2 linked regions of the Astyanax mexicanus genome follow. The protein of the gene in region 1 interacts with the protein of each later gene in a biochemical or structural test. Links are inferred from orthologs where the notes say so. Each region holds a gene or a part of one and is shown in the gene's direction. Other genes may lie near its edges. The genes, in order: map3k2 and smyd3.

Region 1 (12,879 bases):
ACAGAAAATGAGAAATGGCTGAAATAAAAAAAGGTGCAGAGCTTTAGGACCTCAAATAATGCAAAGAAAAGTTGAGAAATCGTTTTTTTGTTTTTTTAATCACAGTTTTCATGCATCTTGGCATGTGCTCCTCCAACAGTCCACACTGTTTTTGAATAACTTTATGCCACTCCTGGGGCACAAATTCAAGCAGTTCAGCTTGGTTTGATGAAACTCATCATTTTTTATTTTCAAGTGGTCTCTTTTTTTTTTTTTTTTTTTTTTTTTTTTTTTACAGAGCTGTATACTGATTTTGATTTTGACTAATTTTGATTAAGTTAATATGTATATCAAAGCATTTTTAGATTAACCATCTTTTGTTTACTCCTTTTTTCAGACCTCCTTCACGTTATCATGGGCAACATACCTGCTGGCCAAACATCCCACAGTGCAACAGGAGATCTATGAGGAAATCACCCAGGTGCTGGGTGGGCGGGTCCCACATGCTGATGATATTTCTCAGCTGCCACTCATAAGAGGACTGGTCAAAGAAACCCTTAGGTATGCATGTGTTCAGCTGTCCATGAGGGGGTGCTCATAACATGATTTTGTATTTACAGCAGCGGTGTAAACACAGTAGTAATTTGTTGCTGTAGATAAATAATACATGGCATTTAGCTTCCTTCCTTTTTTTTTTCTTTATTTTCTTTTTTTTAAAGCCTCCTAGGTTATGAGTCCACAAAAAAACCCTTCCCTGCAATGTATAGTATATTAATGTGTATTTAATGTATAGTGGGCTGGGTTTGTTGGATGTAATTGCTCTCTATATTTTAACATTTTAATAAAATAACTCTCTGTCTTTACCTGCAGGCTTTTCCCTGTTCTTCCTGGCAATGGCCGTGTCACACAGGATGACCTCATCGTGGGTGGTTACTTTATCCCTAAAGGGGTAAGATTAGACACTGTGTGTCTTTTTTCTATAAGTTTGTCTCAGAATGCTTTGATGTGCCAGATCAGGAGTCTGGAGTAAAAGGCGAATGCTGATTGATTTTAGCTGCAGAGTGAAGATCTACTGTAACACTGCTCTGTTCTTTGTTACTCTCTCAGACACAATTGGCTCTTTGTCATTACTCCACCTCTATGGATGAGGAAAACTTCCCCAGTGCAGAAGAATTCCGTCCAGACCGCTGGCTCCGGAAAGACGCTTTGGATCGGGTGGACAACTTCGGCTCCATCCCGTTCGGCTACGGCATCCGGAGCTGCGTTGGCAGAAGAATAGCAGAACTTGAGATGCACTTGAGTCTTACCCAGGTGAGTGTGTGTGTGTGTGAGTGTGTTTGAACACAGAGACAGAACCTGCTTGTTTTTTTTTTTTTGTTTGGTAATCCAATACTGTGACTTTTATACCATAGCAGAGATTAAATCAACTATGCAACAGACTACAGTTAAAAAAATTTTGGCTGAAAAAGTTACAAATGAATTTAAATTATCTCACTAAGATTAATTAAAACCAACATGATTGAGCACATGACTAAATATTTTAAGGTTAAAATTATGATGTAACACAAATTGCATATAAATTGTTTCAGAACTAGTTATATGGAATGTAAAACATTTTAATCCCAGCATATGTGTTGTTAAATTGGTTGGATCCTGTAGAAGAAAAAACACACAGGAGCTAGTTTTATAACTCAGAGCACATAATCACATAATCATACATTCAAACCCTTTCCTGTGATGCTTTCAATTACAACAACAAAAAAATCATACAAACCTAGCCTGAATCAGCACAATCTCACCGCTGCAGGATGAAATGTATTTAAAAACAGCCCCTTTTAAAGCTTTATAGAGCAGCCTCTGTCTGATTTTACAGCTTAGTAAAGCAGACTGCACTTTTCCATACACCTATAAAATGTGTTTAAGGTATTTGTGGTCACTAACTCCTCCCCTTTGTTATTTGCAGCTCCTTCAGAAGTTTCGCATCGAGGTGTCTCCACTCACCGGTGATGTCCGAGCCAAAACCCATGGCCTGCTGTGTCCTGGATCATCAATCAACCTCAAGTTTGTTGACCGTGTGTAGACCCCTGCCTTGAATGTGTACATATGTATTTTAATGTAGTGTTTGTATTAAAGCATTGAGAATGTTAGATTGCACTTTTCATGTCCAGTTAAAAATAATCTTCCCAAACCAATTTTCTTATCGCTGATCAAGCCACTAATGTGGGTATGATCTAGTTTGGACTGTGCCTCTGTGCCTTTTTCTTGTTGCCTTTTTTTGGGGGGCTCACTTTTGAGTCTGAGTGGTGAGTTAAATGGCTTAAATCTGCCTGATGGACAAAGCCTTATGATACTTACAATTGTTGAATTAATTATGTTTAAAATGTTACATTTTATATTGTTTTTCCCCAAGCGTAATATTTCAAGAAAATACTATTTTTGATGACTAATGCAAATTCACCTATATATGTAAAAATGGCATATACTGTCCTTTTGATTTTACAAGCAGTGTTAGTAAAGCATTGGAAAGAGGGGTTTGGAGTGGGGTCTACAAGGGACCAATATTGAAAAAAAATGCTCTTGAGAATCTAAAATATCTAATGTGATTTTCAACTTTTTCATTTATCATTTTCATGTGATTTAAAAGATGTTTTGTACTACTGTGCATAGTTGTGATGTAACACTACCACTTTTATAAATAAATAAGTCTGTATTACATACTAAGATATATTGCTTTTTTACTTTAGAAAAGTCTGCAGATTAACTGAACTTTACTAATTGTTTTTTACTTCTCATGAAGTACTGAATGTGTAATTAGTGCCTAATTGTATTGTTGAAATATATTTTTACATTACATTACATTACATTACATTACATTTGGCAGACGCTTTTGTCCAAAGCGACTTACAATAGTCAAGTACAATGTAAAAAGAGTTTAAAGGTAAAACATCTTTGGATAGGGATAAAAGGAGGTCAAAGGGGAATAATAGGATAGAGGAGTGAAGGAGGGGAAGAAGGAAATGAGGTTAGAAGTAGTTAGTGTGTTAGAGGTGTTAAGAGAGTAAGTGCTATTTGAAGAGCTCTGTCTTCAGGAGTCTCTTAAAGATAGTGAGAGATTCTCCTGATCTGGTAGTGGAAGGTAGTTTGTTCCACCATTGGGGAACTCTGTATGAGAACAGTCTGGATTGCTTTGATTTGATCATGTTCAAAGTGTTTTTATATCAAATTCATTGACTGAAGTGACACAAATCCATGCTAATAGTGTTACATTGTTCTTTATTCATTCATGCAGTACAGTTTAGTTTTGTTATACAAACAAAATATAATAAAGGTGACTGTTTCTAACATGGCTTCAAGTTCTACAGCCTTTTTATTTCTTTATTTCATTGTGTTTAAATAAAATGTCATACACTCATATCTCAAACACTAAACACTCTTATACAGTTGCAAGTAAAACATGTAAACTCTTTGGAATTACTTTGATTTCTGCATAAATTGGTCATTAAAGGGGTTCTGATCTTCATCTAAGTTACAACAACAGACAAACACAGTCTGCTTAAACTAATAGCACACAAAAAATGTAAGTTTGCATATTTTTACTGAACACAACATGTTAACATTTACAGTGATGGGGAAAAGTATGTGAACCCCTAGGCTAATGACTTTTCTAAGAGCTAATTGGAGCCAGATGTGAATGTGATGAGATTGGATGTGTTGGTTAAAGCTGCCCTGCCCAATAAAAACGCACACACCAGTTTTGAGTTTACTGTTCTTAAGAAGCATTGCTTGATTTGAATCATGCCTCTCAGCACAAAAGAGCTCTCAGAAGACCTACGTTGTATAATTATTGACTTGTATGAAGCTGGAAAGGGTTACAGAAGTATCTCTAAAAGCCTTGATGTTCATGTGTCCATGGTAAGACAGACGGTTTGCAAATAGAGAAAGTGAATGCTTTAGTAGATTTTGAGCTTCAACTTCGTCATTGATTCTTGAACATTGTTTTCAAGAATCTGCTAATATTGACTGGAATCAATGCGACCCTCAACTTTAACAAGATTCACAGTACCTGCACTGACTACACAGCCAAATAACTCCAACTTTGTGGTGCATGCTCAGGAAAAGCTTCTTCTGCATTTCTCTCCCATACAACCTCTCCTTCTGCAAAGTGCACTGAATAGTTGAACAATGCACAGTGACAGCATCTGCAGAAAGATGATGAAGTAGGTTTTTGGAGCTCTGGATGTCTGTGGGTTGACTGACTGTTCTCACCATCCTTCGCCTCTGCTCATCTCAGAATTTTCTTGGTCTGTCACTTCGATTCATAACTAGAACTGACACCTAAAATCTTTCCCCTAAACCCTGATGTTGAACCATCTTTGTTTTCAGGTCATTTGAGAGTTTTGTTTTGAGGCTCCCATATTGCCGCACTTCAGAGAAGATGCAAAGAGGAGAAAAGCTTGCAATTAGCCCCTTAAACCTTTCTTATAATTGGATTCACTTGTGTATTTAGGTCAAGAGTCAATGAGCTTACCAAACAATTTTTGTGTTCCAATAATTAGTGTTAAAGGTATTCAAATCAATAAAACAACAAGGGTGCCCAAATTTATGCACCTGCCTAATTTTGCAAAAAGAATTATTGCACACTTATTCTAAATCCTATAAAATTCATTTCACTTTTGAAATATCACTGTGTTCGTCTGCTATGATATTTAATATATTTAACAAAAATCGCTGATCTAAACAACTAATGATTAAAGGGAAATCATGAAAATGATCAGGCTAACAAGCATGCTTGTCCAAAAAGGACAACATTCTTATATATAGCATTTTTATGCATTTATTTTGTATTTATTTAGGTTCACTAGTCACCAATTTCAACGAAACCCACAATGACCCTCTCTTCCCATCTAAACATTGAAAATGTACTTTAAATTTGAATTTAATACAAATAATCATTTAGATTCAGCCATATTTATTTTAATACTGTACATTTTGACCAAGCAAGACACCCTTGACTGTATACTGGAGTTAAGCACTTTTTACAGGGTTAATGCATTCTACCTTATTTTCTAATCTATTTATTTATTTATTTAGATTATTTATTTTATTATTTATTAAGTTTGATTATTTGCTTGAATTTTGAATTTTTACTAGTCATCCACCCATTTATTTACATTAAAAAATATGTTTATAAATTAGGGCTGTCAGCATTACAGACAAACCAAGTCTCCCTAAAGCTGCGGGAGTCTCCCGCATTTCGGTAGTGGCTCCCTGATGCCCGCGAGTCACATATAATCTCCCGCAATTCAGAACGAGTGCCCCAAACGCGCACTGCACGCAAACGCGCACACAGGCGACAGACTTTTTTTCTCTAATCGCGTGTGGGAAGGACAGAAAGAAGACAGAGAGGATTCTGATTGGCCTGTTCTCTGCAAAGAGTCTGTGAGACAGCCAATCAGGTTTGAGTGTGGGCGGGCAGTGTTTTTCCCCCCTCCCGGACGGGATTTGTTCAGAGAGTGAGAGAAAGCAGATCATGGCAGAGGCAATATTAATAATTGTTGTAATATGATATGAAATGTTTTTGATGTTGTGCAATTTTTTGTGATATTGTAACTGTACATTTTTGTCAAATAAAGGCCTTTTTTCAAAAAAAAAAAAAAAAAAAGGAAAGTAGAGGCAGGGCCTTCCAAAAAGAAAAAAAGATAAAACTAATTTCACCTCTGAATACTCTAAATTTAATAAAATAAAATAAAAAAAATTAATTAATATAAAAGTGAAGTTTTTTTTTGAAGGTAGTAGGGTAACCTCCCTGAAATCAACTTTTGCAACTTGGGATGTCTGGCATTAACACACTTAAAACACAGTTAGTCTGGAAACTGTAATGCGTACTTTTTTTTAAAGCATATAATTAATCTTGTGACAAAATGTGATAGAGCCTGATGACGCACTAGCAGTTTTATTTAGAGATATAACACAGCAAAGCTTTCTGTTGAGTTCAGAAGGTAGATTACCCTTTTATTTGTGCTGATGTTGATACTCTCTATCTCTCTCTCTATTTCTCACACACTACTGTGGTCACACACACACAGCTGATGGCACGTTTCCTCTTTTCAAGCTGGTGAGTGTGGAATATGCAGCTAATCTAGCATTTATTTCCTCCACAAAAACGCTCATTTAAACTCAATACATTAATTTTGTTTAAAAAGCACCACAACTACCCTGAGATATTATAATCCAGTAAAATAAATCTAGTCTATCAGGTGTAAACCACATTACACAGTTATTTTTGTCCAAAAAATACAATTAAGTACCAGCATTTTAAAAAATTAAATCATGATTTTATCCATGATTCAGCCATTGTTAATCATGGATAATACTGTTGTGAATAATACAATTATTTTTAAGTGACTGGCATCAATATTAAAAATCTAAGTGTTTCTAATACTGATTCTTTTATTCACATTTAAAACCTATTTTGAAAAGCTGAGTCTTTTCTCCCATTGTTCTCCCAATTTTAGATAGGCCAGTCATTTCCCCTATTCAGCTGCTAGTCAGCTGTATATCCCCAATCACAGTCATGCCACAACACCAGGAGGGTGAAGGCTAGCACATGCCTCCTCCGATACATGTGAAGCTAATCACTGCATCTTTTCATACTGCTGCTGATGTAGCAAAGCAGAGTCGTCAGCGTTCTCGGAGGAAAGCGCAGCAACACGGTTCTGATACATCAGCTCACAGATGCCTTGTGCTGATCAACATCACCCATCTACCCTGCTCTGGCAGCTGATGGCAAGTTACATAATCAGGATTCGACCATGTGGTCACCTTCAGTTTTTTATTTGGAAACAGACAGCATAATTTAAAGTAAAGCTATTGTTTTCTTTTACATTTAATTTAGTTTTTTTTTTTTTTTTTTTTGTGGAAAAATATGAAAAATATGAAAATCACTGCCACTTAAAAGAGGTGTTTACAGGTTTCTGACAGAAGAACTTGTCTATATTCTGAGATTCCCTCTAGTAGGTTCTAAGTCAAGATGTACAATCTCGATTATTCCATTTTTTAAATATTAAATCGCATTAAAACAGTAGCCTTCCAGACCCAGTAAATAAATACATACTCTGAGCCCCGTGTCCTGCTGTGGTCTCCGTACTGTAGACAGAGTGCAGGTCTCTCTGACAGGCTGATCGTGTGTAGCGGATCGGACTGGTCCATCGGCGGCTCGGCGCGGGGGGGAGAGAGCGGCGCTCCGGGATTAGTCTTCAGTCGAGCCGTGTTTGATACCTGCGGTTTCTACATATGAACAAAACCACGCCGTTAAACGGTTATCTGTGTGTCTGTATTTGCGGCACGGCCTCGCGGATACGACGCTTTTGGCCTGAATGTGAAGCGAGTTCGGTGATTAATCGCTCGGCCTGTAGCGCATCGACAGCGGCGGCAGTGGCGGCGGTTAGCGGAGCTGAGCTAGTGCTCTGGGGCCTCGGACTGAAGTTGCAGTTGTATGCGGACTTTACAACTTCTTAAGCCGGGTTTGGAGGTTCTTAAAGTCGGGCAGGGCCCCCACTTCCCAAGGCCTTCGGATGAGGAAGTGAAGATACACGAACCACCCAGGTGAGAAATAGGACAAATAGCTCTTATTTTCTGCTGTTATTGATTATTTATCCTAGTTATTAGATTCTGAAGGCTTTTAGCTGTCAGTCGATGTCTATTAGCAATAAATTCTCCTGTCAGACACTGCTTATGTTAGCTAGCTAGCCAAGTAGCTAAAAGTTAGCATATATAAAATAGCAGCGAAGTGAACGAAGGTTTGTGTGCTGGCATTCTAGCTCTAAATGTGAGATAGTTAGCTAACCTAGCTAGCTATATTTGCACAAATTGGATAGTTAGTTAGCTGTCTCTCCTTGGTCTTAATATAACTATAACGTACAAGGTTAGCCAGCTCTATTATCTAATTAAATAGTTTGGAAGGTACCTAGCAGACTGTCTAGCTAACTAAGCTAACTAACAGCTAATTAGCTAGCTAGCTAGATAGACAGTATGGCTAGCGCGCCTTCAGTGTAGCGAGCTAATCTTGTTGTTAGCTAGCTAACTTAGCTAACCTATCTAATAACGAGATAATGTCATGTTGGCCCCTGTATTGTCGTGTGCATATGTCCCATTAAATACTATGTAAAATGCTTCAGTCTTTATTATGTTAAAGACAAATATCCAAAACAGCTGGTTTTTCACCCGCAGTAATGTTTAGCTAGTTAGCTTATAAGCAAAGCGGACGTGCTAGCTAGCTCTCTTCATCATCATCCTCCAACTGCTGAAGATGTTTTTTGATAAGCCCCATTTTGACCGCTTGTAAAACACTATTTCCATTGTTATCAGGAATCTTGTGGCCTCGTTATCTAATGAAGATAAGTGGTTAGCTATGTGAGCGCACACACTGCCTACACACACTGTGTTTGTTGTATGTTGAAACAGTAAACTATAGCTAGCTAACAAGCTTGCTAGGTTAGCTAGCTAGCTAGCCAGCTATCATTGGTAGAGCAGATTTTGACAGCTGACAGACCCGCCAGTAGCACCAGTTTCCCCCCAATGTGATGATATCTGAGATCGATGTGTGATTTACTTTACTATTGTACTTTTAAATGCAGTTTGTGTAACAGTATTATTTTATTATTACGATTATGATGTTAGATGGTATTTTGTCAATTGTTGTTTGTATGTAAAGGAAATGCCTACATGAATGACACCCACTCAAAATAGTTGTGATATCTATGTACAGGAGAAAGGAACCCATTTAATGGGAGATATCCTCTATCCTGAACTCCTGGGGCCGACTGTGAGCAGTTATCATGGGTATGTAACCTATGTCTCCTGATAAAAGATGTACAAAGGTTTTATAAATTCTTATACATGGTCCATGTTTTAAACCTGTTTTAAACCCATATGTCCTGACAGACGAGCAAGAGGTTCTAAACTCGATCATGCAGGACTTGGTTGAGCTGCATCGCTCTAGCCGGCCAGCCATGTCTCTGTCTGACCTGGGCAAACCCAAGGCTTCGTCTCCCAAGAACCAGGTCTGATATCTTAGTCTGATCCTCCAACATTGACTCATGTAAACTTGTAAATAAGGGTTGGGCGATATGACTAAAAAAACTCTTATCTCAACATGTTGCAGGGAAATGACGAGATATGATATGATGAAATCTAAAAGTGAAATGTTAAAGTATCCACATTTATTTGTAACACCATAAATAAAATGTATGATGTATTTAAATAGTAAATATCTAAATATTTATCTCAGTATTTCACTTATTTAGAAGACTGCACTGGATGATTGGACAAACATTTATTGGTAGTAAAAATGCTGGAAAATGCACATAGAGTATTTGTAGGTGGTTTTTTTTATGCACAAATGGTAAGCCTGCGGCTTTGGCTGGGTGCATAATGTTTAGATGTGGTCCTACCAGCTTGTTTTCCACCCTATTATTTTACATCAGACTATCAATAATAACAGAGCCATTTGCAAAAAAAGCTTTTATTGGCTGGTTTATGGCATTGTGATGGCCCACAAATCTTCTGTAGTGTAGTATATTTTTAGCACAGAAATAATGACAATGCTGTTGTTACTCAGTTTTATGGGATAATGATGTCCGCTCATTGTCTGTCATTTCTCCTGAAACTATTCGATTTCACCAGACACCACCCATGTAAGATTTTAATTGGAAATAAATTGCTTGTGGGAAATTATTTTAAGTGTATTGATATTGACAATATATTGCCCAGCCCTATTGTACATTGTACTTCTATATAGATTCTGGGTATAAGACTGCAGGACATCGACATAATACAGATGTTACAATTATGTTGCTACATTAGAAATGCTGAATGTCTAAACACATGTCTAGGCTAATTTTTTTTTCATGTACAGATGGTAATCATGTGACTTTATTGGGGTGCATAATGTTCAGATTTGGTCTTACCAGCTTATTTACCACCCTGGTATTTAACATCAGAATTAAAAGCTGATGGTTACAGGTGGCTTTAAAAACAAAAATAACACAGATTTTACTACTGGTTTGTGGCATTGTGAAAGCTTACAGATCTTCTGTAGTGTAGCATAGTTTTTACACAGTAACAACAACACTGTAATTATTTATTTTGTTTTGCGGGCTAGTGGTGCTGTTGGCTTTTTGTTTTTACCAGTAAATAATAAGCTGAAATGTACCTTTACTTGGTTTAGCTGAGGACATCTTGTCTGTTTATGAGCGAGTGGACACAGGTAACTGGAAGAGATGGTAAAAGGCTATTGCGTTGGCTAGTGTTAGCTTTTAGCATAATGCGGATCATCGTTTGCTTTTTTTTGTGTCACGTTAGTTTTTGCAGATGTTAGAACAGGAAAAGTTGTGGTGAAAAGTCAAGTTACATTTTACAATTTTGCCAGCTTTAACTAGGGCTTTTGCTTGTAGATTGGTTGTTTGGAAATTTAAAAGCCATTAAATTCAGTATCGAAAAGCAACAATTTTACACAGTGCTGATGCAGTGCGCTGAAGTGTTAGAAAACTTATAAGTTTAGTTATTTGTTTATTTAATCTCTGCTTCTGAAAGGTATAATAATAAGCTTCACGATGACCTCCTAAAACTTTTTTTGCAGTTATCCGAGGATTAATGTATAATAGGAGGATGTATGTTGTTTTTAGGAACCTGGCCTCAAATGATTTCCCAACTGTTGTGGTTGTTCAGATACAGGCAGGAAATGTGTGTTTATATATACAGCCAAATACAGATTTTTTTTCTGTGCATTTTACGTACACCATTTCTGTTCATTATCTGACATTCAAAAAAACTATTGGCTCTTTCTGTATGGTTGTCATTTTCCAAACATAATTGCCATCATTGGAGAGCCACTAACATACTTCTGGAGAAAAGTTTCAGATTCATTCATATAATTATGCTTCACAAATGGGCTGAAACACAGAAAATATGGATTTTATTAAAGGAATATCAAAGAAATAAGAGATCTAGTTAATTTTACGGCAAGGCACTGCAAAACTTGTATGTGCTGTATAGTATGTGCTTTTTTTGGTTAATTTTAATTATTTAATTTTTTTTGGTTAATTTTATTCTTTAATTATGAAAAATGAACTGTAACTGTGCAACAATGAAACATGCAGGTCAGGTCATTTTGAGTTTTTCTTTGAAATCTTTCAGCTTTTCATATGATTGAATGTGTTTCCTATTTAGTTTAGGAAAAATGATTAAAGACAGGTATAGAAGTATCAGAATAAAGCTTTTGTTTCCATGCCTTTAAACAATATTGTCATTTAGGGTCCACAGTGACAATCATCAGTTGATGTAATGCTAAGTTTTGGACCGTGTTAATCTCACTTTCTTTCTTGCAGAACGATGTTCGAGTAAAGTTCGAGTACAGGGGAGAGAAGAGGTAATGGTTTCAACTTTTAAAAGCATGACTGTTACTTAGATTAATTTGTAATAGAAAGGAATCTGACTGCGGGACATGCAATGAATTCATAAAGTTTTTGAAGCCTGGAGAGACATTCCTGAAATGCTGGAAAATTATTATTTCCTGTAATGCACTGATATGATTGTTTTCGCCTCTAACTGTACAAAATGAAACATTTAGAACGTATTCTTTAGTGGTGGCCCATGCAATCACAAACCCCTGCAGAGGACTTTTAATATAAAACAATGGATGCAGACACAGCAGCATCTAAGTTCATGACAGACTGAATTTCCTTTGTTTAAAGGAACAGTCTACTAATGTATTAAATGAGAACAAGCTTGTGAAATGGCTACAGCAGTCCAATTTCAAAACACTGGAGAGAGCTTTTTGCGCACCCAGCCCTCACCAGACACGAAGCTTATGGTGTTTCCCAGATTGACACACACTGGCAAGCGATGACGTGTTCTACCTCTTCGTGAATATATATATATATATATATATATATATTACACTTCAATGTTTTTATTGATTGCACATTATGAACTAACTGATTTTATATGACTCTGTTAGCTTGGTTGGCAAACCTTACTGAAGCTCGGTGATTAGCTGTTTAGGAGAAAAATAGACAATTCCCCTATTTCCATGACTGCAGCACATTGTTTGCATGCTGTTGTTCTATACCAGGCAGCTTAAGGTGTGGAAATGGGACTGTGGGAAGTAGGGGTGGGATACGATCACGATATTTCATGGTATTTTGGCGAAAACGATACTCTTGGCAATATAAAAAAACACTGAACTGATTTCAAGAATACATTACTGCAACTAAATAAAAATATATATATTGTTATTGCATACATACTGCACACCCCTAATTGAGATATTGGAAGAAGAATTTTATCAGATTTTTGACAAAAGTCAATGGTCTAGAATGTCATGATACTAATAATGCACTCCATATATCTCCATATATCCAGGATTAAAGTAAAATAAATTATACTGGACAGATATAATCTGTCTCTAGTAGATATATAATGGGAAATGAGAACAGTGTTCTTACAGTGTTATTTTGCTAAAAACAGCAAAAAGTAGTACTCTTAATGTGATAATTAGGGGTCGATGATATGGTACAATATTTCAGGGTATAATACTGTTCACAATATTCAAAATTGTTGGCGATATTATTGCGTATGATATGATATGGTATACCCCTAGTGGGAAGTGTGGGGGGCGGAGGCTAAAATCCACACAGATTACTGTGATGTACCACACAGTTCACATATGAACCGTATGAAGCTATCACATATGAAGCTCCGCTGTCGAGAGCTGCTAGTGCTTAAATTCAACATTTTTTCTTAAAATCTGCTGAAACATCCTGATAATGTTATGATTTACTAAAGAAAATATAATCTAATGGTCTTTTAACCTTTAGCCTCCAGATGGCCCTGTTGTCT
Region 2 (13,055 bases), on another chromosome or scaffold:
CCGCTCACTGTTTGAGGTTGCCGTGGCGACGGAGGAGGGAGCCCACTGCCCCCTGCTGTGGAGGATGTACATGAACTTTATGGTAAAACATCTTTCCCTCTTTTGTCTGTTAACCCTAAAGTGTATGGGTTTCAGGGACGGGGATGAAGATGTTGGTGATTATGGTGATGATGGTGATAATGGTGATGAATGGTGATTATGGTGATTATGGTGATGATGGTGATGATGGTGATGATGGTAATAATGGTGATGATGGTGATTATGGTGATTATGGTGATAATGGGATGATAGTGATGATGGTGATGATGGTGATGATGGTGATAATGGGATGATGGTGATTATGGCGATTATGGGGATAATGGTAATGATGGTGATTATGGTGATGATAGTGATGATAGTGATAATGGCGATGGTGATTATGGTGATTATGGTGATGATAGTGATGATAGTGATGATGGTGATAATGGTGATAATGGCGATGATGGCTATGGTGATGATGGTGGTGATGGTGATGTTGATTATGGTGATTATGGTGATAATGGGATGATGGTGATAATGGGATGATGGTGATGATGGTGATGATGGTGATAATGGGATGATGGTGATTATGGGGATAATGGTAATGATGGTGATTATGGTGATGATAGTGATGATAGTGATTATGGCGATAATGGCGATGATGGCGATGGTGATTATGGTGATGGTGGTGATGGTGATTATGGTGATAATGGGATGATGGTGATTATGGTGATTATGGTGATTATGGTGATAATGGGATGATGGTGATTGTGGTGATTGTGGTGATAATGGGATGATGGTGATGATGGTGATAATGCTAATAATGGTGATTATGGTGATAATGCTAATAATGGTGATTATGGTGATAATGGGATGATGGTGATGATGGTGATGATGGTGATAATGGGATGATGGTGATTATGGTGATTATAGTGATAATGGGATGATGGTGATTATGGTGATAATGGGATAATGGTGATGATGGTGATGATGGTGATAATGCTAATAATGGTGATTATGGTGATGATGGTGATGATGGTGATAATGGGATGATGGTGATTATGGTGATTATGGTGATTATGGTGATAATGGGATGATGGTGATTATGGTGATAATGGGATAATGGCGATGATGGTGATAATGGGATAATGGTGATGATGGCGATGATGGTGATAATGGGATAATGGTGATGATGGTGATGATGGTGATAATGCTAATAATGGTGATTATGGTGATGATGGTGATGATGGTGATAATGGGATGATGGTGATTATGGTGATAATGGGATGATGGTGATTATGGTGATTATGGTGATTATGGTGATAATGGGATAATGGTGATGATGGTGATGATGGTGATAATGGGATAATGGTGATGATGGCGATGATGGTGATAATGGGATAATGGTGATGATGGCGATGATGGCGATAATGGGATAATGGTGATGATGGTGATAATGCTAATAATGGTGATTATGGTGATTATGGTGATGATGGTGATGATGGTGATAATGCTAATAATGGTGATTATGGTGATGATAGTGATGATGGTGATGATGGTGATAATGGGATGATGGTAATGATGGTAATGATGGTAATGATGGTGATTATGGTGATGATAGTGATGATAGTGATGATAGTGATAATGGTGATTATGGCGATAATGGCGATGATGGCGATGGTGATTATGGTGATGGTGGTGATGGTGATTATGGTGATTATGGTGATAATGGTGATGATGGTGATGATGGTGATGATGGTGGGTGTGTGCAGGTGTGTAACGGGGACACAGAGAGAGGAAGAGGAATCTTCTATAAAGCTCTACAGAACGTCCCCTGGGCTAAAGTGAGTCCCTCTCTATATATACGTATAGTGTGTGTATATTTATATGGTGTGTGTTTGTATGTGTTATTTATATATATGTATTGTGTGTGTGTGTGTGTGTGTTATTTATATGTATATATATATATATATATATATATATATATATATATATATATATATATATATATATATGTATTGTGTGTGTGTTTTATTTATATATATGTGTATATATGGTGTGTGTGTGTGTGTGTGTTATTTATATATATGTATATATATATAATGTGTGTGTATGTGTGTGCGTTTGTGCAGTGTGTGTATATGGACGCGGTGCGGTTGTTTCCGGATCGGGTTCAGGAGTTTTTGGATCTGCTGGTGGAGAAGGAGCTCCGGCTCCGAGCGCCGATGGAGGAGGTGGAGATCCTGCTGGAGGAATAAACGCCTACACTACCCACAATGCACCAGACCTGCGGACCCTCACATACCTTTATTTATATTTTATTTGGATATGAAAATGGTAATTTTGTGATAAATGTATATATTTATAGTCTGCAGTGTCCGGGTTTTATTTTTTAATGTTTTTAATTAACGTCTTTAATAAACATCGATTTCTGTAATAAATACAGAACACAGTACTGTACTTTACTCTCAGTACTTCAGTACATTTTACTGTAAACTACTCCAGTATTGAAATACAAATAATGTTAAATACTTCTGTACTTTTACTGAAATGTGGAGCTTAAAGAACTTTAGCTTCCACATCCTGAAACATCTGATCCCACCACTGATCCCAGAACAGCAGCAGCTCAGGAATATTTAACAGTGATGAAGTAATGTCATGTAATAAAGTACTGTAATGTAATTAAGTACAGTAATGTAATAAAGTACTGTAATGTAATTAAGTACAGTAATGTAATGAAGCTCCAGTGTTGATCTTCTGGAGATCTGGAGATTTCTCCTGCACAGTTCTGTAATCTGAGCTGCATTGGGGGGAGGTGGTCTTAATGTTTTGGCTGTACATTTCATATTTCATTAAGCTTAATTTAAATATAAGATTTATATTAGAACAGTTGCATTATTACTTTAATCTATAATCTAATTTATAATCAGATTTTATATAAAACTCAGTCTTTTCTGTGTTGTGCAGAATTTAGAGCTGATTGTAGTTTAGTGGGCGGAGTTTGGGGGGGTTGCACTATCTGGCAACCCAGCTACCAGCAGCGCGTCCGTATCTAAGCAACCAGATCCGCGGTGGAATGGCGGAGGAGCGCGCGCTTGCAGGTAAACATCGGGTTCTCTTTATTAACTCTTTAAACCGATTAATCAATTAATCCAATTACCGATTAATCTCGAACCGCGGCGTCACTGTCAGCGCGGCTCTGCTGGGTTGCCAGATATTAACGCGTTTTTATTTCAGTGACCTGATGCAGAGAAAGTAGGAGAAACAGCGCTGTTTAAACACATCCACGTTCCTCTGATTCATTTACTTACGTTTAAAAATAAAAATAAATAAATCATTCTCTAAATCCAGCGACAAGATCAATAATCTGGCAACACTGGAACACTATAACACTGCTCTGTAACAGTAAAGAGTTACCCAACGCACTTTTAGTATTAATATAAAAAAACTGAAAGCACTTTACCATTTAGAATAAAATGCATCTAATTCTATACCCTCTCTACATCTGTACACACTCATTTATTCACCTCTAAATCACTTTTAGTGCATAAAATCACCTATTAATGTTCCCAGATAAGAAAAAAAAACACCAACAGCTCCAAATCTATAGGATTTACACATCTAAATAACGGGGGTGTTCACTTTGAATCATGGGGAAAATTCACACCCATTAATATTATACAAATCCTGTATTATAACTCTATTATATATTATATTTTATATATTTACAAATTTACTAGCATTTCAGCAACGGTGTATGATACAGCTAGGTGGCAGCAAACACACGCACTTCCTTTATATTTACAATACAGTGTCGATTCTCCTGTATATTTAATTGTAAAAATGTAATATACTGTATAATTGGCACTCTATCCAAATTTCTAAAGTGCGTGTGTTTGCTGCCACCTAGCTGTATCACATACAGTTGCTAAAATGCTAGTACATTTGAAAATATATAAAATATAATATATAATAGTCAAGTCAAATGTATTTCTAATTTAAAAACCACAAATACCAACCAAAGTACTGTACAATACAGAAGTACGAACAATTAAATATATAAAACTAAACAACAAATAAGATATAAGATAAATAAAAAAGTAGCATCAGGAAACAAGATTCAGATTAACCCCAGACACTCAGAACTGAACACACTGAAAGTCCTGAGAGTACAGGTACGATTTTAGATTAGTATTAAAACAGTGATGGAGGGAGATGCAGATTATTCCACAGTTAAAGCTCTGTAATCTTCTGACTTCAGTTCAGGAGTTTAAGCGTCTCTAAGAGCTGCTGATTTTTAGGACTCGTCGGGTTGAATATGGATGCAGAAGGTCGGAGATGATGGTCTGATGGAGACGCTGTTAAAACTTTAATTATAAATTGACCGACAGTCGGTACAGGAAGTCCTGTACAGGAGAGATGGACTCCCTCTCATTAGTCCCAGTTAAGAGTTCAGGAGGTTCTGAAGGTTCTGATCAGGAGGTTCTGATTGTGTTCAGGTGTGTCGGAGGTCCAGAAGAAGATCCGGAGCGCGTTTGATGTTTTTGATCATGAACAGAATCAAACTGTGGACGTCAGGTTGGTTCTGATTCTGCAGATTATAGTGATGTAGAGTTCTGAGTTCTGATCGGGTTCTGTAATGAATCTGATCCGATTTGTTTGTTTGTTTGTTTTTAGGGAGATCGGGACGATTATTCGTTCTCTCGGTCGATTTCCCACCGAAGCTGAACTGCATGACGTCATCGCTGAGGTCAGAGCTCATTTACATATTTCAGACATATTATATTAAATCTGCGGCTGTGTCTTTTATACTGGTTTATATACTAAGTTATATACTGGTTTATAGGTTACAGACAGGTTTATATACTGGTTTATAGACTGGGTTATATATATGTTTATAGACTGGGTTATATAGAGGTTTATAGACTGGTTTGTATACTGATTTATTTACTTGGTTATAGACTGGTTTATATACTGGTTTTTAGACTTGTTTATATGTTATAGACTGGTTTGTATACTGTGGTTTAGATTGATTTCTATACTGGTTTATATACTGATTTATAGACTGGTTTATATGCTAATTTATATGTTATAGACTGGCTCATATGTTATAGACTGGGTTATATAGAGGTTTATAAACTGGTTTATATACTCGTTTATAGACTGGTTTAATGAGCAGTGCTGGAAATGTTGTTACAGATCGAGGAGGAGGAGCCAGCGGGCTTCATCCGTTTTGAGAAGTTCCTGCCGACCATGTCCCGAATCCTGATGGAGAACAAGTAACTCTTGATCACTGCGTTTACACTGAACTGATTAATCTGAATTATTTCAAACTCCAGTTCTGATTGGAGGTTCTGATCAGAAATTCTGATCGGAGGTTCTCATCGGAAGTTCTGATCGGAGGTTCTGATCGGAGGTTCTGATCGGAGGTTCTCATCGGAAGTTCTGATTGGAGGTTCTGATTGGAGGTTCTGATTGGAGGTTCTGATCGGAGGTTCTGATTGGAGGTTCTGATCGGAGGTTCTGATTGGAGGTTCTGATCGGAGGTTCTGATTGGAGGTTCTGATTTGTTCTGTCAGGTTACGTCCCGTTCCTGAGGATCTTCTGCTTCAGGCGTTTGAGGTCAGAAACTCTTACGTTCATCTTGTTCAGATATTAATTTAACTTCAGCGGTGCAAAAGCACACAGTCTGAATCCTGTAGAGCAGGAGATCAGGAGGGAGATCAGGACTGTGTGCTAAAGGTGTTTATAGAGCGAATCTGGTTGTTAAATTAAATAATAATAAATAATATAAATGTGTTTCAGGTTCTGGATCAGCAGAAGAAAGGACACCTGGATCCGGAGGAGCTCAGCAGATATTTAACACAGGAAGGTAAATCCAGCACTTAGACTTTAGCTCCTCCCACTGCCGGTGACATCATCAGATATGTAAAGTTTACTGAAGATTAATTAGAAATTCCTGACTGTGTTTCGAGTCTCAGAGCTGAGGGTGGTGTTGTGGGTGGTGCTGAGGGCGGGGCTGTGGTCGGGGCTGATGGATGTGCTGCTGTTTCTGCAGGAGATCCTTTCTCTCAGGAAGAGATGGAGCAGATGAGGGTGGTGTTGTGGGCGGGGCTGAGGGTGATGTTCTGGGTGGGGCTGAGGGTGGTGTTCTGGGTGGGGCTGGGGTTGTGGGCGGGGCTGAGGGCGGTGTTGTAGGCGGAGATGAGGGTGGTGCTGTGGGCGGAGCTGAGGGTGGTGCTGTGGGCGGAGCTGAGGGTGGTGTAAAGGTGCTTGCACACTGAACGCGGTATGCCGCGCGGCATTCCGCTGTGCTGCCGCTCTGCTCTACGCTGGTCAGTTGCGGGTGCGTTGCGCTGCTGCTGACGCCAAGCGTCTCCTGCTGATAATAGGCGGAGTTTTCTAAAACCCATCACCTCTGTGAGCGGTGTTTTGTAGTTTTGAGTCTCTACAGCCTCTGTGGATCTGTATATGTTTCTCAGCCTCAGAACAAAGCTCTGATTCTTCTCTTCCTCCTGTTATCTCTATATGAGTGTAGGGAAGTGATGTACAGCTGAGGGGATTCACTAATCGCTATTATTAGTCTCTCGCGCACGTTTATTGTTGTTTGGACTACAGTTTCTCTCTAGTCGCGTGAGTTCACGTCATGCGTTTTCTGCCGAGGTACCGCTTGCCGCGAGGTCAAAGTTGAACCATGTTGAACTTTGCCCGCGGTAAGCGGTAGCGCGGTGGAGGCGTGGTTATGGGCGTGGAAACGCGCCGCTTTCCGCTCTGCTCCGCGGCAGCGACGCACCGCTCTACCGCTCTAGACACTATTGAATCCTATGGGGGTCAGCGTACCGCGCCGCATCTACCGCGTGCAGTGTGCAAGCACCTTTATTGTGTTCCTGCAGGAGATCCGTTCTCTCAGGAGGAGATGGAGGAGATGCTCTCTGCTGCTCTGGATCCCGAGAAGAATCTGATCTTCTACAGGGATTTCGTCAGCATGATGACCGCCGATGAGCCGTGGTAACGAGGGACCGCCCACAGGGGGCGGAGCTACATCAGCTTTAATAATCGGAAACTTCTTTATTCCATTTATATTAAAGCTCATTAAATATTTCATGTGTGACTAATAAATAAATAAATAAATAAATTCTGCGCTGTTTTCTTTTTTTTTTTTTTTACAGAGATTCAAAATTTAAATACAATAATTAAATCCACTTTTATCTGATTTATAATAAATATTTATGTTTACACACAGGTTAAAACTTGACATTAAAGATCAGTTATTATTATTATTATTATTATTATTATTATTATTGTTGTTATTATAAGTAGTAGTAGTATTGACTAATTGCCTTATTTTTTAGTAAAAAAGATGATGGTCACATGTCACTAGCTAGCCAATCAGAAACTTTTCCCACAGTGTTATCTGTCAGCTGGTTGCTGTTATACCTCGTTTTGATTGGCCAGGTGTTTATTTGTATTCACAATCACACACTATAAATAATAATCAATAAATATTTTTTTGTGATTTTAGATAGAGATTATGATTATCAGCCTTTAACCTCAGGGTTTCTGCTCTGTACATAAAGTTTGTTTATATAAATTACTATTATGATTTTATAGATCTTTGGGAAATAAACTTTATTTGTAATTGTATAAACTTTAATGCTAATTTAATGATAGTTTAGCTGTTAGTCAGTAATGTTGGATTATTTATTATTTTTTCTAACATTAATATTTCTCAGTGATTTAGCTGAGCTACTTTAGTAAAACACACTTTGTGTGCAGTTCAAACTCACACCTTTGGCATGGGCTTATTTCACCAATTATTTGCATAGTGGGCGTGTCTTCCTCTCCCATTCACTCAACATCAGCGGGGAAAATAAAGGTTAATTTAGAAACAGATCATTCTGATAATGTTTTTATGTATGTGATGATTTTGCTCATTAATAAACAGAGAATAAAGAGGATATCCAATTCTAACATAACTGCACTGATGAGTCCAATAGAAACATGGGAGGGACTCTTATTTTGAAGGGCTGCAGTTTCAGTGAGAGTTGATGATGGCGGCGCGTGCTGAGAGGTTTATAAGCGTGCGGGCGGGAAACGGGCTGCGCGCGGTCGGTGAGATTAAAGCCGGAGCGGTGATACAGATCAAAGAGAATGAAGGAGGCGATGCCATTGATCTGCAGAGCTGCGCGCCCTTTACATTCTGCGTCGCGCGGAACTTCCTGCAGTCCGCGTGCCACAACTGCTTCCGCACGTGAGTTTATTACACACACACACACAAACATCCACAGTGCCATTCTACTGTATACACACTGCACCCTACACCCTAAACCTTACAGACTGCACCCTACACCCTAAACCTTACAGACTGCACCCTACACCCTAAACCTTACAGACTGCACCCTACACCCTAAACCTTACAGACTGCACCCTACACCATAAACCTTACAGATTGCACCCTACACCATAAACCTTACAGACTGCACCCTACACCATAAACCTTACAGACTGCACCCTACACCCTAAACCTTACAGACTGCACCCTACACCATAAACCTTACAGACTGCACCCTACACTCTAAACCTTACAGACTGCACCCTACACCCTAAACCTTACACACTGCACCCTACACCCTAAACCTTACACACTGCACCCTACACCCTAAACCTTACAGACTGCACCCTACACCATAAACCTTACAGACTGCACCCTACACCCTAAACCTTACAGACTGCACCCTACACCCTAAACCTTACAGACTGCACCCTACACCCTAAACCTTACAGGCTGCACCCTACACCCTAAACCTTACAGACTGCACCCTACACCATAAACTTTACACACTGCACCCTACACCCTAAACCTTACACACTGCACCCTACACCCTAAACCTTACAGACTGCACCCTACACCCTAAACCTTACAGACTGCACCCTACACCCTAAACCTTACAGACTGCACCCTACACCCTAAACCTTACAGACTGCACCCTACACCATAAACCTTACAGACTGCACCCTACACCCTAAACCTTACACACTGCACCCTACACCCTAAACCTTACAGACTGCACCCTACACCCTAAACCTTACAGACTGCACTCTACACCCTAAACCTTACACACTGCACCCTACACCCTAAACCTTACACACTGCACCCTACACCCTAAACCTTACACACTGCACCCTACACCCTAAACCTTACAGACTGCACCCTACACCCTAAACCTTACAGACTGCACCCTACACCCTAAACCTTACACACTGCACCCTACACCCTAAACCTTACAGACTGCACCCTACACCCTAAACCTTACAGACTGCACCCTACACCCTAAACCTTACACACTGCACCCTACACCCTAAACCTTACAGGCTGCACCCTACACCCTAAACCTTACACACTGCACCCTACACCCTAAACCTTACACACTGCACCCTACACTCTAAACCTTACAGACTGCACCCTAAACCTTACACACTGCACCCTACACCATAAACCTTACAGACTGCACCCTAAACCCTAAACCTTACAGACTGCACCCTAAACCTTACACACTGCACCCTACACCATAAACCTTACAGACTGCACCCTACACCCTAAACCCTAAACCTTACAGACTGCACCCTACACCCTTAACCTTATAGACTGCACCCTACACCCTAAACCTTACAGACTGCACCCTACACCCTAAACCTTACACACTGCACCCTACACCCTAAACCTTACAGACTGCACCCTACACCCTAAACCCTAAACCTTACAGACTGCACCCTACACCCTTAACCTTACAGACTGCACGCTAAACCTTACAGACTGCACCCTAAACCTTACACACTGCACCCTACACCCTAAACCTTATAGACTGCACCCTACACCCTAAACCTTACAGACTGCACCCTACACCCTAAACCTTACAGACTGCACCCTACACCCTTAACCTTACAGACTGCACGCTAAACCTTACAGACTGCACCCTAAACCTTACACACTGCACCCTACACCCTAAACCTTACAGACTGCACCCTACACCCTAAACCTTACAGACTGCACCCTACACCCTAAACCTTACAGACTGCACCCTACACCCTTAACCTTATAGACTGCACCCTACACTCTAAACCTTACAGACTGCACCCTACACCCTAAACCTTACACACTGCACCCTACACCCTAAACCTTACAGACTGCACCCTACACCCTAAACCTTACACACTGCACCCTACACCCTAAACCGTACAGACTGCACCCTACACCCTAAACCCTAAACCTTACAGACTGCACCCTACACCCTAAACCGTACAGACTGCACCCTACACCCTTAACCTTACAGACTGCACCCTACACCCTAAACCCTAAACCTTACAGACTGCACCTCACACCCTAAACCTTACAGACTGCACCCTACACCATAAACCGTACAGACTGCACCCTACACCCTACACCCTAAACCTTACAGACTGCACCCTACACCCTAAACCTTACAGACTGCACCCTACACCCTAAACCCTAAACCGTACAGACTGCACCCTACACCCTAAACCGTACAGACTGCACCCTAAACCCTAAACCTTACAGACTGCACCCTACACTCTAAACCGTACAGACTGCACCCTACACCCTAAACCGTACAGACTGCACCCTAAACCCTAAACCTTACAGACTGCACCCTACACTCTAAACCGTACAGACTGCACCCTAAACCCTAAACCGTACAGACTGCACCCTACACCCTAAACCGTACAGACTGCACCCTAAACCCTAAACCTTACAGACTGCACCCTACACTCTAAACCGTACAGACTGCACCCTACACCCTAAACCGTACAGACTGCTCCCCAAACCCTAAACCTTACAGACTGCACCCTACACCCTAAACCGTACAGACTGCACCCTACACCCTAAACCTTACACACTGCACCCTACACCCTAAACCTTACACACTGCACCCTACACCCTAAACTCTAAACCGTACAGACTGCACCGTACACCCTAAACTGTACAGACTGCACCCTACACCCTAAACCTTACAGACTGCACCCTACACCCTAAACTCTAAACCTTACACCCTACTGCACAATCACCCTAAACCCTACACTACACCTTACACTGCATCCTTAACCTTACAGACTACACCCTAAACCTTACAGACTACACCCTAAACCTTACAGACTACACCCTAAATTCTACTGCATAATCACCTTAAACACTACACACTACACCCTAAAGCCTACACTGCACCCTACACCATAATCACTACACCCTGCACCCTGCACCCTACACCATAATCACTCTACCCTACACCCTAAAGCATAATAACTACACCCTTCCCACTACACCTTAAAGCATGCACTGCACCCTACACTTTATTAGAAACATCTACAGTACCCTGTACTGTTTGTGTGAGTGTATTTCTCCACTCTGGCCACAGGGTGGTGCTGTTTCTCTGTGTTGGCCAAATCAATACTTAGTAGATTCATATTTCTCTGCAGTTACAGCTGCATGTCTTTTAGGGTTTATCTCTACAAGCTTTGATCATCTAGAGACTGTAGAGATGTTTCCTCCATTCTTCTTTATAAATCAGCTGAAGATCAGTCAGGTTGGATGGAGAGTGTTGGTCTGTGAACAGCAGTTTTCATGTCTCTCCACAGAAGATCAATGAGATTTAGGTCTTTAGGACTTTAACTGGATCATTCTAACACATGAATATTCTCTGATCTAAATCATTATCCTCTTGAGACCCTGCGTCCTCATATGGGGACATTATATTTCTACATCTCTGCACCATGATTTTTTTAAAACGTTGAACTTTTTGGCCTCATATGGAGACTCTGTCCTAGTGCTGGACGATATGGCCAAAATTTATATCACGATATATTCCTTAAATTTCGGTCGATACGATATAATTTCGATATCGATATAAATACTTTGAAGGCCTCAGAAAACTGCTAAGAAGCCCTGCAATCCCTGCAGCACTGCGAATTTAAATTATTATGTAACTGTGTATTTGCACTTTTTGTATGGCTGGCATCAGATACCCTCATTATATGCACATCTATCTATCTATCTATCTATCTGTCTGTCTGTCTGTCTGTCTGTCTGTCGGAAATCTGTACCTACTACTGTCTGAAAATTTAATTTAAGCCTTTGAAACCTCCTTTCACAAAAACTTTAATACTTTAGAAATAAAAGTAGTCAAAATAAATCAATGCTCAATATTATTTGCATATAGCAAAATAATAACATGACATCCCTGTCAAACATAAGCCTATATAACTATTACCAATAAAAATAACTTTAAATTAAAACAGAGGCCGAGCTTCTTATTCTTTGTGAACAAATTTAACAGATTAAAACAAAAGTGTTTCAACTAGGATATAGAATACCAGAAGCCTTTATATACATAAAAGCAACAAGATTTTCCCGTCAAATAAACAAACCTATAGGCTTTATCAACTATGAATAACTTAGTTACAACATAAGCTATAAAAGTGCTTCAGTCAGTATAAGAAAAATATTGTATGTAGTGGAGTTGCTTGAAGTGGTGGAACAGATTAGATGTATTAACATTACCGCTGCTGGTCGGCTGCACTCTCCGGCACAATTTGCAGCAAAGCGGCAAGGGAGCGGAACCGCGGCCGCCCTCGAGGACCCACGGCCGAGCGAGCGGACCCACGGCCGAGCGAGCGGACTCGCGGCCACCCTCGAGGACCCACGGCCGAGCGAGCGGACCCGCGGCCGGCCTCGAGGACCCTCTGCCGAGCGAGCGGACCCGCGGCCGAGCGAGCGGACCCGCGGCCGGCCTCGAGGATCCGGGGCCGACCGAACCGAGTCTACCTTAGCCTTGGATCCGCTCGTCCCGGCTCCGTTTGGCTCCAGCACGAGACATTTTTGCTGCGTAGCGAAGCGGACCCGAGCCTAGCCATTTTAACCTAGCCTTGCCTAGCCTAGCCTATTTGGCTACGTGCCTGTGTGGTTACGTCATCACGCACTGACGTAGCCCAGCTACGGGGGCTGTGTTGAGCTCTGCGGCGAGCTG

Evidence for each region.
Region 2: the proteins of map3k2 (region 1) and smyd3 are reported together in a solved structure, tested with the Homo sapiens proteins (2 studies listed by BioGRID and IntAct, with this or other methods). The link is inferred for Astyanax mexicanus from reciprocal best matches to the Homo sapiens genes MAP3K2 and SMYD3.

What each region holds. Positions count from the first base shown.
Region 1 is NC_064412.1:37,840,706-37,853,584, reverse strand, and holds the start of map3k2 (mitogen-activated protein kinase kinase kinase 2), read left to right. Parts: upstream 1-7,150; 5' UTR 7,151-7,584; intron 7,585-8,746; 5' UTR 8,747-8,816; coding exon 8,817-8,820; intron 8,821-8,922; coding exon 8,923-9,041; intron 9,042-11,366; coding exon 11,367-11,407; intron 11,408-12,879. Other genes in the region: cytochrome P450 27C1, read left to right, coding at 377-540, 850-928, 1,087-1,290, 1,943-2,059. UniProt on the Homo sapiens protein: Component of a protein kinase signal transduction cascade. Regulates the JNK and ERK5 pathways by phosphorylating and activating MAP2K5 and MAP2K7. Plays a role in caveolae kiss-and-run dynamics.
Region 2 is NC_064421.1:69,084-82,138, forward strand, and holds the start of smyd3 (histone-lysine N-methyltransferase SMYD3), read left to right. Parts: upstream 1-8,021; 5' UTR 8,022-8,066; coding exon 8,067-8,269; intron 8,270-13,055. Other genes in the region: efcab2 (dynein regulatory complex protein 8), read left to right, coding at 3,095-3,119, 4,518-4,596, 4,696-4,768, 5,218-5,297, 5,598-5,640, 5,824-5,890, 6,912-7,030. UniProt on the Homo sapiens protein: Histone methyltransferase. Specifically methylates 'Lys-4' of histone H3, inducing di- and tri-methylation, but not monomethylation. Also methylates 'Lys-5' of histone H4.